2 linked regions of the Drosophila melanogaster genome follow. The protein of the gene in region 2 interacts with the protein of the main gene of each other region in a pairwise test. Each region holds a gene or a part of one and is shown on either strand. Other genes may lie near its edges. The genes, in order: cact and cactin.

Region 1 (5,201 bases), on a different chromosome or scaffold from region 2:
CTCCAGATCGGCGGGCAGGCAGGCGTAGCTCAGGGAACTGACCGCTTTGTCGTTGGATCGGTGTCCATATTGTCGGTGGGCCTCATGGATTTCCGTGGCGCCGAACTTCTCTGTCAAGGCACGGACGCACTGTTTCTCTCCGGCGATGCAGGAAAGATGCAGAGCTGTGTTTCCATGACGATCGCGCACCGTGGGCTATTCAAATGAGTAATGGGAATCTTTTGTTACAAATATAAATACTTAAATTAGCTTTTGTTAGAAAATCAAGATGATATGACATTACATTCGTCAATAGGGGATTAAGCTAGATTTTACAAATATGCAAATATCTAAATCTTCTTATTCGATCTTTGTTGAATATTACCTCAGCTCCGGCGAGTAAAAGTATCCTCATGATGTTCGGCTGGGCAGTAAGAGCGGCCAGATGAAGGGGTGTCTGGGCCACATCGTTCTGGATGTTGAGCAGGCACGGATGAGGAGCCATGCGAATCAGGGCGGCCACCACGTCCACTGATCCCGAAATACAGGCCAGGTGCAAAGGTCTGAAATGAGAGAGAGAGAGCAAAAAAAACAACATGAATTTGTGGGTTTCTTTTACCTGGCGATCGAACACCCGCACTTTCTTTCCTTCCTGTACACTTGTCGCCGTTCATGTGGCGGCGTAAAAACCCAAGTAAGTTAAGTAGAGGTAAAGTAATGTGAAGAAAGAAGAGGTGCCCCGAAAAACCTGTTCCCGTACCTGCCCACATACCAGGAAAACCCCAAAGCCTGACTAAAACACATGTGTCAGTCGCGTTTCTCGCCTCAGACAATCGTCTTTGAGTGATTCACGAAACTCTCCCCTTAGCTCGCTTGGTGGTCATCAGTGCAACGCGGCGTTGTCTTTGTTATTTTGGGAAATTTTAGGATTCTCATCGGAAATACGGCACGTATAAGTTCATAGAAATTCGGAAATGATTCAAAGACTGTGCTTATAAATCTTTAATCGTGAATTGTCAATGAGTATGTTAAATTGATTTTTAAGAGCATGAAGACCTAAATTCTAATAAAGATTTTTTTTTGGCGATTGTGACAGTCTAAATATAATCAATCGTTTCCAATTTCAAAAAATACCGTCCAATTGTATAAAATATTTAAAATATAAAGTTCTTATGATTGCTAGTCTAAGAATAAGCATGGGAAAGTTTTTAAAGTGACCTAGAGATAAGGCGCTAAAATGTTTAAATCATACTTGGGAATTTCCCCACATTAAAAATACACATTCGAAGTTATCTATAAATGTGGTTTGCACATATATAAATAATTTGAAAGTCTAGAATAAAGTGACATTTCCTGAGATTCTATAATGTTTACTTACGTGTCGCCGTCGTCGTTTTGTTGATAGAACTGCTCCCAGGCGTTCATGATATTAATGCTGCTGGGCGGAGCGGATGATGTTGCTCCCGATCCCGAAGGATTCGCGTTCGCCGTGCTGGCTGTGGAGGATTGAACCTTGCTGCGACCGGTGATTTGGGTGCTGCTGCTCTGGCCGAGATTGTTAAGCTGTTCGCCGCGACTGACCAAATGGCTTTCGACGGTCCATTGTGGGATGCCTGTGTCCGCGCTGTGTTTGAGTCGCATTGAATCGGCGGTGGCAGTGGTGGTGTCCTGGTGCTCCTCCTCTTTCTCCTGCTCCTCCTGATCCTCTTCTTCGTCGATAATACCGGAATCGAGGACAACGGGCTGTTCCTTTTGGGGTGCCGACTCCTGCTGATCCTTATCCTGTTCCTCGCTATCGGGGACTATCTCCTCGCTGAAGATCTGCGAGGATTGCGGGCCGGAGATGAAGCCCGAATCACTGGTTTCGTTTGGCACGGCAAATTCCTTTTGCTTGTTAATGGCGGCCGTTTGATCTTGTGTTTTGCCGCCAATTTTACCGCTAGTGGCTAGTGAGGACGAGGGGTTAGCCGCGTTTGAGGGGGCGCGCTGCTCAACACTGGCAGCGCTGCAGCTGCAGTCACTTGTTGCTGTTGCCTTTGTTGCTGCCTCCGCTGCTTTTGTTGGGCTCGGCATTTTCGTGCTTTTCCTCTCTCAGTTGGGCTAAAATATATGTATATATGTTATATATATACTCCTGTCGTTTTGAACTTTGCTTTTGAGCCCAGTCTCTCAAACACACACACATACACACGCACAGTAAGCGCTCACCTCGGTGGTGCGAGTGAAACAAACATATAGGCTCCAGCGAACAAGTGAAAACGCAATAATTTTTGTAGATTAAAGGCAATTTATGGACTTATGTACAAGTGTAGCCGCAGAAAAATAAAAATTACGGTTTCACACTGGTTGAAAATTTTAGATTTTTCCATTTGCCAATGTCTTATTTGCCTCTTCACGGTTGTTTCACCCGCACACACCCACAATCACACTGAGGTAGATTTTTTATCTCCCTTTTCACACAGCTTCCTTTTCGCTTTTTATTTTCTGCACATGTTCTGGGTTTAAACCCCAGCACTATTTTCTATGGATTTCTCACTACCTTGCTGGTTAATTGTCTTGCGAAGCTGTCTTTAAAACGCGTATTTATGGTTTAAATGTTTGTAATCTGCAATTCGCATAGTACCCGGACGCACGTCTGCTTTCTTTCACGTTTCGATAGCGAATGAAATTGAGGGAGCGCGCTGATATGTATATATTTATATGGCAGTCTATACTATAAAGCCCCGTTTGCACTAAGAGTTATCACGAAATGAAGAGTCTCGATTTTAAATTTTCTTTACTTAGAAAACTGTTAATTGAAAAAAATCTATTTTTTCATATTTGCCCAAAAAAAATAAAATTCTAGACTTGAAAAGACCGAAGTGAAAACGTTTGCCTTAATATATCGACGATGGAGTGTGTAATCGGGGCTTAAATCAGTTTTACATGTGTGCGAGGGAGACCATAGGGTTGCCAGATAGTAGGGAGAGCGCCAAGTTAAAATCTCCCAACAACAAAATGAGCAGCTAAATGGTCAGCTGCAACAAAAGCAACCACAGCAGCGATGCGTTTATTTATACTTCTTACTCTCTGATTGTGTGATTGTTTAGTTCCTCGAGCGAAGCCACTTGATGTTGATGCTCGGCGTCCTACGGTTGAAATGCGTATGACGGCGAGGCGGACAAATATCTGGGAAATCACCCGCTGACCGAGAACGGAAATGAAATGCAGGATTCTTTCTTCGGTTTTTCACAGGTCAGCTTCGATTGAAACCTCGACCAATTCTGAATTTCATGGGATATTCTGAGCGACCGATTTGTCATACACTCTCCTTCTGGGATTTTTTAACACTCAATCACATTTTATCGCCAATTCATGAAATATTATATATACGATTATTTTGGTTTTTACAAGGTTGTATTGATTAAAAAATTATCTGAATCCAAGAAATTTAGAGGGGCTTTACAAGATTATCAGATTCTTACCATAAAACCTGTGTTTACGGTCACAAGTAGTTTCGAAAGTTTTTGCTCGCTTTTTTAATTTAAAATTTAAAATTCCGCCTCTCGTAGTTGTAAAGTTATTTATTATAACAAATAGGTTATTAAAAAATCGGACTTGTTTCCTAAAATTTTGATTAAATTGCTGGGAATTTGTAAATTACTCTTCAGTTTTAGGGGTTTGGTCATTTCCTTGTCGGGTTTTGCTTTTTGCTTTTGTATGACTTAATTAAATTATTCTTTAAAATTTAAATTCTTCGGCTTCCGATTGAATTTCTTGAATTATTATTTATCAGGCGTTCGTTTTTCTATTAAAAACAAGTGTTTGGTGCCAATCTGATAAATTTATTAAGGTATATAAACTTTTTAAATATTTTGTTAATTTCTAATTATTTGTTTGCTATAACATAAACTTTTATCGTTTTATTAAAACTGTTTTGCTATTCTCGTTATTATAAAATCCAAATATTCATTAAATGTTTTTCTAACAAAATTACGCAACAAAAATGTGACCTGCTAATAAAATTATAGTAGTGTTTTTTAATGTTTATTAATATTAACCAATTACTTTATCGCCCAATTTAAAAATTGCGGGTGATAACAGATGATTTTAAGAGCAGGTAAAACAACAAAAATTAAGTTGGCAGCACTTACCGGCCAATAAGTCAATTGCACAAAATCTTAAACGCAGGACCAGAAATATTTTGCAAAGGACGTCAAGGAATGCTGAGAAGGATGAACACTTTTAGTGGTCAAAAGCTGGCGGCTGTGGTCAAGGAGCTGGAGAACTTTGCTCCGACTTCTTGGGCAGAGAAGTGGGACAATGTGGGACTCCTGATCGAACCGCACCGCGAAAAACAAATCAAGAAAATACTATTAACTAACGATTTAACCGAGCCCGTAGTGAAAGAAGCGCTAGAGAAGGAGGCGGAGCTCATAATCAGCTATCATCCGCCAATTTTCAAGCCCCTGACCAGGATTACGCAGTCACATTGGAAGGAGCGCGTGGTGGCAGCATGCTTGGCCAACGATATAGCCTTGTACTCGCCCCACACGGCGTGGGATAAGAAGAGTGGTGGCGTCAACGACTGGCTATCTAAGGCAGTGAATATCATCAGCATCCGCCCTCTGGAACCGGAGTTGGGTGCTCCTCCGGGTACCGGATCCGGTAGATATATAGAAACCAAAATGGAGCTTTCCCAGGTGGTGGAGTCTCTGCAAAAGCGCATTAGAAACAGCGTGCACGTTGCTCTAGCTGTGGGCCACACCCCCAAGACACTCATCCAATCCGTCGGCATTTGTGCCGGCTCTGGAGCATCTCTGCTGAAGGGTATCCAAGCGGATCTTATCATTACCGGCGAAATGTCCCATCACGAAGTTCTGGAGTTTACTCACAACAATACCACCGTTCTTCTCTGCAATCATAGTAATTCAGAAAGGGGTTTTCTCCATGAGTTTTGCCCTATATTGGCCAAATCTTTAAATGAAGAATGCCTGGTATTTGTATCTGAAGTGGACAAGGATCCTCTGGTCACCGTGGCTAGCGATATAAACAAAGAACTAAGCGCATTTGTTGACGTCTACAAGAGCACATCAAAATAACTTTGATCTTATAAGCATTTTTTGTTTAACAATGCATTTTCTGGCGCATCCATAAAGGTTACAAATAAACTAAAGGATTTAACTTTCTTAACTTCTAGACTTGATCCAGCTTAAACTTGCCGCCCTTGCTGGCGGCGTCGT
Region 2 (4,676 bases):
GACACGCCCCAGCCAGTCTGGTCCTCCGGATCGCTCCAAAGCAGGTCGCACATGGGCCCGTCGTGCGGCACCTCCTGCTTCCGGTCGATGCTGCGAATCTGGTCGAGGTACTGGATGGACGGCGACAGCCCGCCGTGCACGCAGAATATTTTGCCGTCGATGATCGCCGAAAGGCTGAGGTAGTCAAAGATCTCCGTGCAGTACCGCCACACGGCCGTCGATCCGTACTTGCGCAGGCACTCATCGTAAAAGCCGTAGACCTGTGTGATTTGGCGCGACTCATGGTTGCCCCGGATCAGCGTGATTCGGTCCGGATAGCGCACCTTCAGCGCCAACAGCAGCAGAAACGTCTCCACACTATAGTAGCCGCGGTCCACGAAATCGCCCATAAACAGGTAGTTCTTCTCGGGCACATCGCCGCCAACCTTGAACAGCTCCTTCAGGTCGTAGAACTGACCGTGGATGTCGCCGCACACGGTCACTGGCGAGTCCACACGCTGCACGTTGCCCTCCTCCACCAGGATCTCGCGGGCTTTGGCGCACAGGGCCTTCACCTCGTTCTCCTTGATGATCTCGCAGCGCTTCAGTTGCTCGATCTGTCGGTCCAGGTCGCTGTAGTCGGACATCTTCACCCGGAGGATGGCGGCAGCCGAGGCGACGGGGAAGCGGTGAATCGGACTGCAGGCGTTGACAGGGCGGGGACAGCGTTGTTAGTCGTTCACCAAACTGGCGCGGGTGGTTTTCAGGTAGCCACAAGGTTGCATAAGAGAAATACTATAAATTTTTGGTCGCTTGAGTGATAGGATAGGGTACTACTCTAGTCGTGCACAGCAAGTCTAGCGTTTTAGAGGCCATAAAGTGCATCTGTATAGCTGCATCCCCCACATCTAAGAATCAAGACGATTCAACTATATTTACGGATTGGGCAAATAATATAAACACACACATTCGCGTTCCCAGCTATTCCACTTGTTGAGATAGTCCATGAGGCTATTTCGCAATGAAAAGCCAACCAACGAGAAAAGAGGCTATATTCTCGATATAACTTCTTTTAGCTGTTTTAGATGGCTGTGTTTTAAGTGAATGCATACACATTTCTTTCAAATACGAAACGTGTATTTGACAGTGGATAGGGTTGGATTTGTTTTAAATCCAGAATTTCTGGATTAGAGATTAGTTCAGATTTTCAGTTGCTGCTGAACTGGAAGTAAGGTAACTAATAGTCGACTAATAACCATCCTTTTGTTTGTGTTTCGGTTTTTGAGTTCGCCTGCATGCGTCTGTGTGCGTCGGCTTTGTGCGGATGCTCGCGTGTGTGTGTGCGTCTGGCTTGTCGCTGGCCTTTTTGCCGCGCGCGATTTTCACCGTCTGCCGTGTTTTTCCTGTCTTCCCCGACACTTTTCCAGAATCACTACTTACTCAGCGCAGTGGCGGGCTATCTGGACAATCCTTTTGCTGGTAGCTCGGCTCTCGTGTTGGCGATTGAATACAAAAAATGCACATAAACGTTTTTGCCAACCGGGTTTCTGCGAAGAGCTGGATTGGCTACTTGCGTTTGTATCGATATATTGAGTAATGGCACTTGCAATGACACATCGAGTCTTCAGTTTCGATAGTGGGCATTACCACGAAGACCCTAAAAAGCCTTTTACACTGCACCAAGGATTCCATCGATAAATTATTTATTTTTGTGTATTTATAATACGCTGCAGCCGAAATTTTAAAATTTAAAGTTTGTAAAAACTAACCCTTGGAAAAATAAATCGACTTATCGGCAAGAGGGAGATGTGTTAATGTTATAATGCTTATATCGATAGCACTTTTGCAATTATTAGTGGCTATCTGGGTTGGTTTTCTCCATCTGGCAACGCTAGCATTGTTTATATTTTATTTCACAAGTTTTATCCCGAAAAACTCATTAAAAAAGATGCCCAAGGAGAAATCCAAGCACCGGCATCGCAGCCGCAGTCGGGAGAGGCGGGATCATCGCAGTCCGGATCCGAGGAGCAGCAGGAACAGGGATCGGGATCGTGAACGCGAGCGGGAAAAGGATCGTGACCACAGAGATCACAGAGACAAGGAACGTGACCAGCGCAGGGAAAGGGAAAAGGACAAAAGCAGGGACAAGAAGCGGGAGCACAAAAGCCGGAGACGCCGGTCCTCTTCCTCCAGCTCATCCCCGTCGAGTTCGACGTCCAGCTCGGTGCCCGGTGCCCCTCGTTCGCCGCTGGTAAAAAGCCCGATGAAGCTTCTCCAGACGCTGGAAGCCCGTCGCCTCGTCGAGCAGAAGGATCGTCAGCGTAAAAAGGAGGAGCTGAAGGCCCATGAAACGCCCGAGGAGAAGCGCGCCCGTCGCCTGCGCGAAAAGCAGGCCAAGGAGCAGCGGCGTCGCGAACGAATGGGCTGGGACAACGAGTACCAGACGTACTCCAACGAAGACAACCCGTTCGGGGACTCCAATCTCACCTCCACCTTCCACTGGGGCAAAAAGCTGGAGGTAGAGGGACTATCAAATCTCTCCACCAAAACCGTAGAGGTACTGTCTCTGCAAAAGCAGTTGGAAAATCGCAGGGAGCTGGAGAAGGTCAAGAAACGGCGTCAGGAGAGGGAGCTGGAGCGGCAGGTGCGCGAGGATGATCTTATGATGCAGCAGCGCGCCAAGGAGGCGGTGCAGTTCCGCGAGTGGCAGCGACAGGAAGATCAGTTTCACTTAGAGCAGGCACGCTTGCGCAGTGAAATCCGGATCCGAGATGGACGTGCCAAGCCCATCGATCTTCTCGCCCAATATGTGGCCGCTGGGAATGAGCCGCTCGAAGAGTGCCTCGAGATGCAGATGCACGAGCCCTATGTGCTGCTAAACGGCCTGCCCGTGGAAGAACTGGAGGACCTGCTGGTCGACATTAAGGTATACGAAGAGCTGGAGCAGGGCAAGCACATCGATTTCTGGAACGATATGATCACCATTGTGCAGGATGAACTGCAGCGCCAACAGAAACTGGAGGCGGAGAATAGTTCGCTCAATCAACGCCGGGATGGCATCCACCAGGCGGTGGTAAAGGATGTGGCCGATATTTTTAGGGGGAAGAATGCTCAGCAGCTGGAGGAGATGCGGCACCGCATCGAGGCCAAGATCAGTGGGCGAGCGGATGGCGTCGACATTAGCTACTGGGAAAGCCTGCTCTCGCAACTCAAGGCACACATGGCCAGAGCTCGACTGCGAGATCGCCATCAAGCCTTATTGCGCGAGAAGCTGTCGCTGCTCAAGCGAGAAAACGATAATGAGACGTTGCAAGAGAAGGTGGCCCCACAAGTCAAGGAAGAGGAGATGGAAACCCAGGACGCAGAGGACCCGGAGGTTGAGGAGGGCTCACCCGAAGACGAGGAGGATCCCCTGAATGAGCTGCGTAAAACAGTGCGTCTTTACCAGGCAGGGAACTACAGCCCGCGCTATATACGCGAAGAGGACTTCACCGGCAGACGAGCGCAAAACGAAGACGTCGACGAACCGGAGGCAGAAGGACTTCTCTACGAGGAGGAGGACGACGAGCGGCGAACACAGAGACAGCGTCTGCTAATCCTTCATCCAGAACGAGTGGATAACAATCAACTGACCCCGCAGGAACTGCGAATGCGCAACGAGGCGAAGCAGGGAATGCAGGGTGACGAGGCCGAGTTCAGTGTGGAGACCACCCTGGATGCAGTGCCGCAGCTGGCCACCGATAAGTACCGACCACGAAAGCCGCGCTACTTCAATCGCGTGCACACCGGCTTCGAGTGGAACAAGTACAACCAGACGCACTACGACATGGACAATCCCCCGCCCAAGATCGTGCAGGGATACAAGTTCAACATATTCTATCCGGACCTTATGGACAAATCGCAGACGCCGCAGTACTTCCTCACTCCCTGCGCGGACAACGGGGACTTTGCGGTGCTGCGTTTCCACACAGGACCACCGTACGAGGACATCGCCTTCAAGATCGTCAACCGGGAGTGGGAGTTTAGCTACAAGCGGGGCTTCCGCTGCCAGTTCCACAACAACATCTTCCAGCTGTGGTTCCACTTCAAGCGCTATCGCTACAGGCGGTGAAGGATTGTCACCGTCTGGCCTAGATTACCCAAACCATCCTTTTGTGCAGTCCTATGTTATTTTCCAATAAAGTGTAAGCCCAGAACAACTAGCAAACTCGTTCCATTTATTGCGATTGTTTAGTTGACTCCACTTAAACTGAAAACTGTTGTTTAACCTTTACCCATTTTTCAATTCATCCATCTTGCAAATAAGGAGAGCATTATAATGTTATATTTATTATTATATATGTATATACCATATATCACAGGATTTCAAATGGGTTCCACAAATGTTGGTGTAAGCGTGAAGCTATCGTGTTTAAACAGTCTAGGCGTGAAAGTAGGAGATCACATCACGACGCAGTCCTTGATGGGCTGCTCCAGGACTTTCTCCACGGGCTCTCCACGCTCCGCCTTCTGCACTTGGGCCAGGACACTCGCGTGCTGGGGAAATGCCAGGCAGGAAAGCTTCGAGTGCACTAGCTGACCGTCGATGGACACCTCGAAGGATCCCCGCCGTCCCGTGCGACAGGATATGTCCAAGTCGGGCGACGAGGCCAGCAGGAACTCGCGCAGCAGGTGGCACTGCCCGCTAAAGTTGCAGA

Evidence for each region.
Region 1: the proteins of cactin (region 2) and cact interact in binary tests that used the Drosophila melanogaster proteins (3 or more experiments, as listed by UniProt).

What each region holds. Positions count from the first base shown.
Region 1 is NT_033779.5:16,322,976-16,328,176, forward strand, and holds the start of cact (cactus), read right to left. Parts: upstream 3,233-5,201; 5' UTR 3,046-3,232; intron 2,651-3,045; exon of another isoform or gene 2,519-2,650; intron 2,446-2,518; exon of another isoform or gene 2,080-2,445; 5' UTR 2,053-2,079; coding exon 1,358-2,052; intron 543-1,357; coding exon 365-542; intron 196-364; coding exon 1-195. Other genes in the region: CG4278 (uncharacterized protein), read left to right, coding at 4,182-5,060; mRpL4 (mitochondrial ribosomal protein L4), read right to left, coding at 5,155-5,201. UniProt on the Drosophila melanogaster protein: Involved in the formation of the dorsoventral pattern. It inhibits nuclear translocation of the dorsal morphogen in the dorsal region of the embryo. Acts as a negative regulator of the NF-kappa-B (rel) signaling pathway.
Region 2 is NC_004354.4:20,422,227-20,426,902, forward strand, and holds cactin (cactin), read left to right. Parts: upstream 1-1,842; 5' UTR 1,843-1,927; coding exon 1,928-4,090; 3' UTR 4,091-4,176; downstream 4,177-4,676. Other genes in the region: Pp4-19C (protein phosphatase 19C), read right to left, coding at 1-626; CG15456 (uncharacterized protein), read right to left, coding at 4,420-4,676. UniProt on the Drosophila melanogaster protein: Plays a role in pre-mRNA splicing by facilitating excision of a subset of introns. Plays a role during early embryonic development. Involved in the dorsal-ventral embryonic patterning.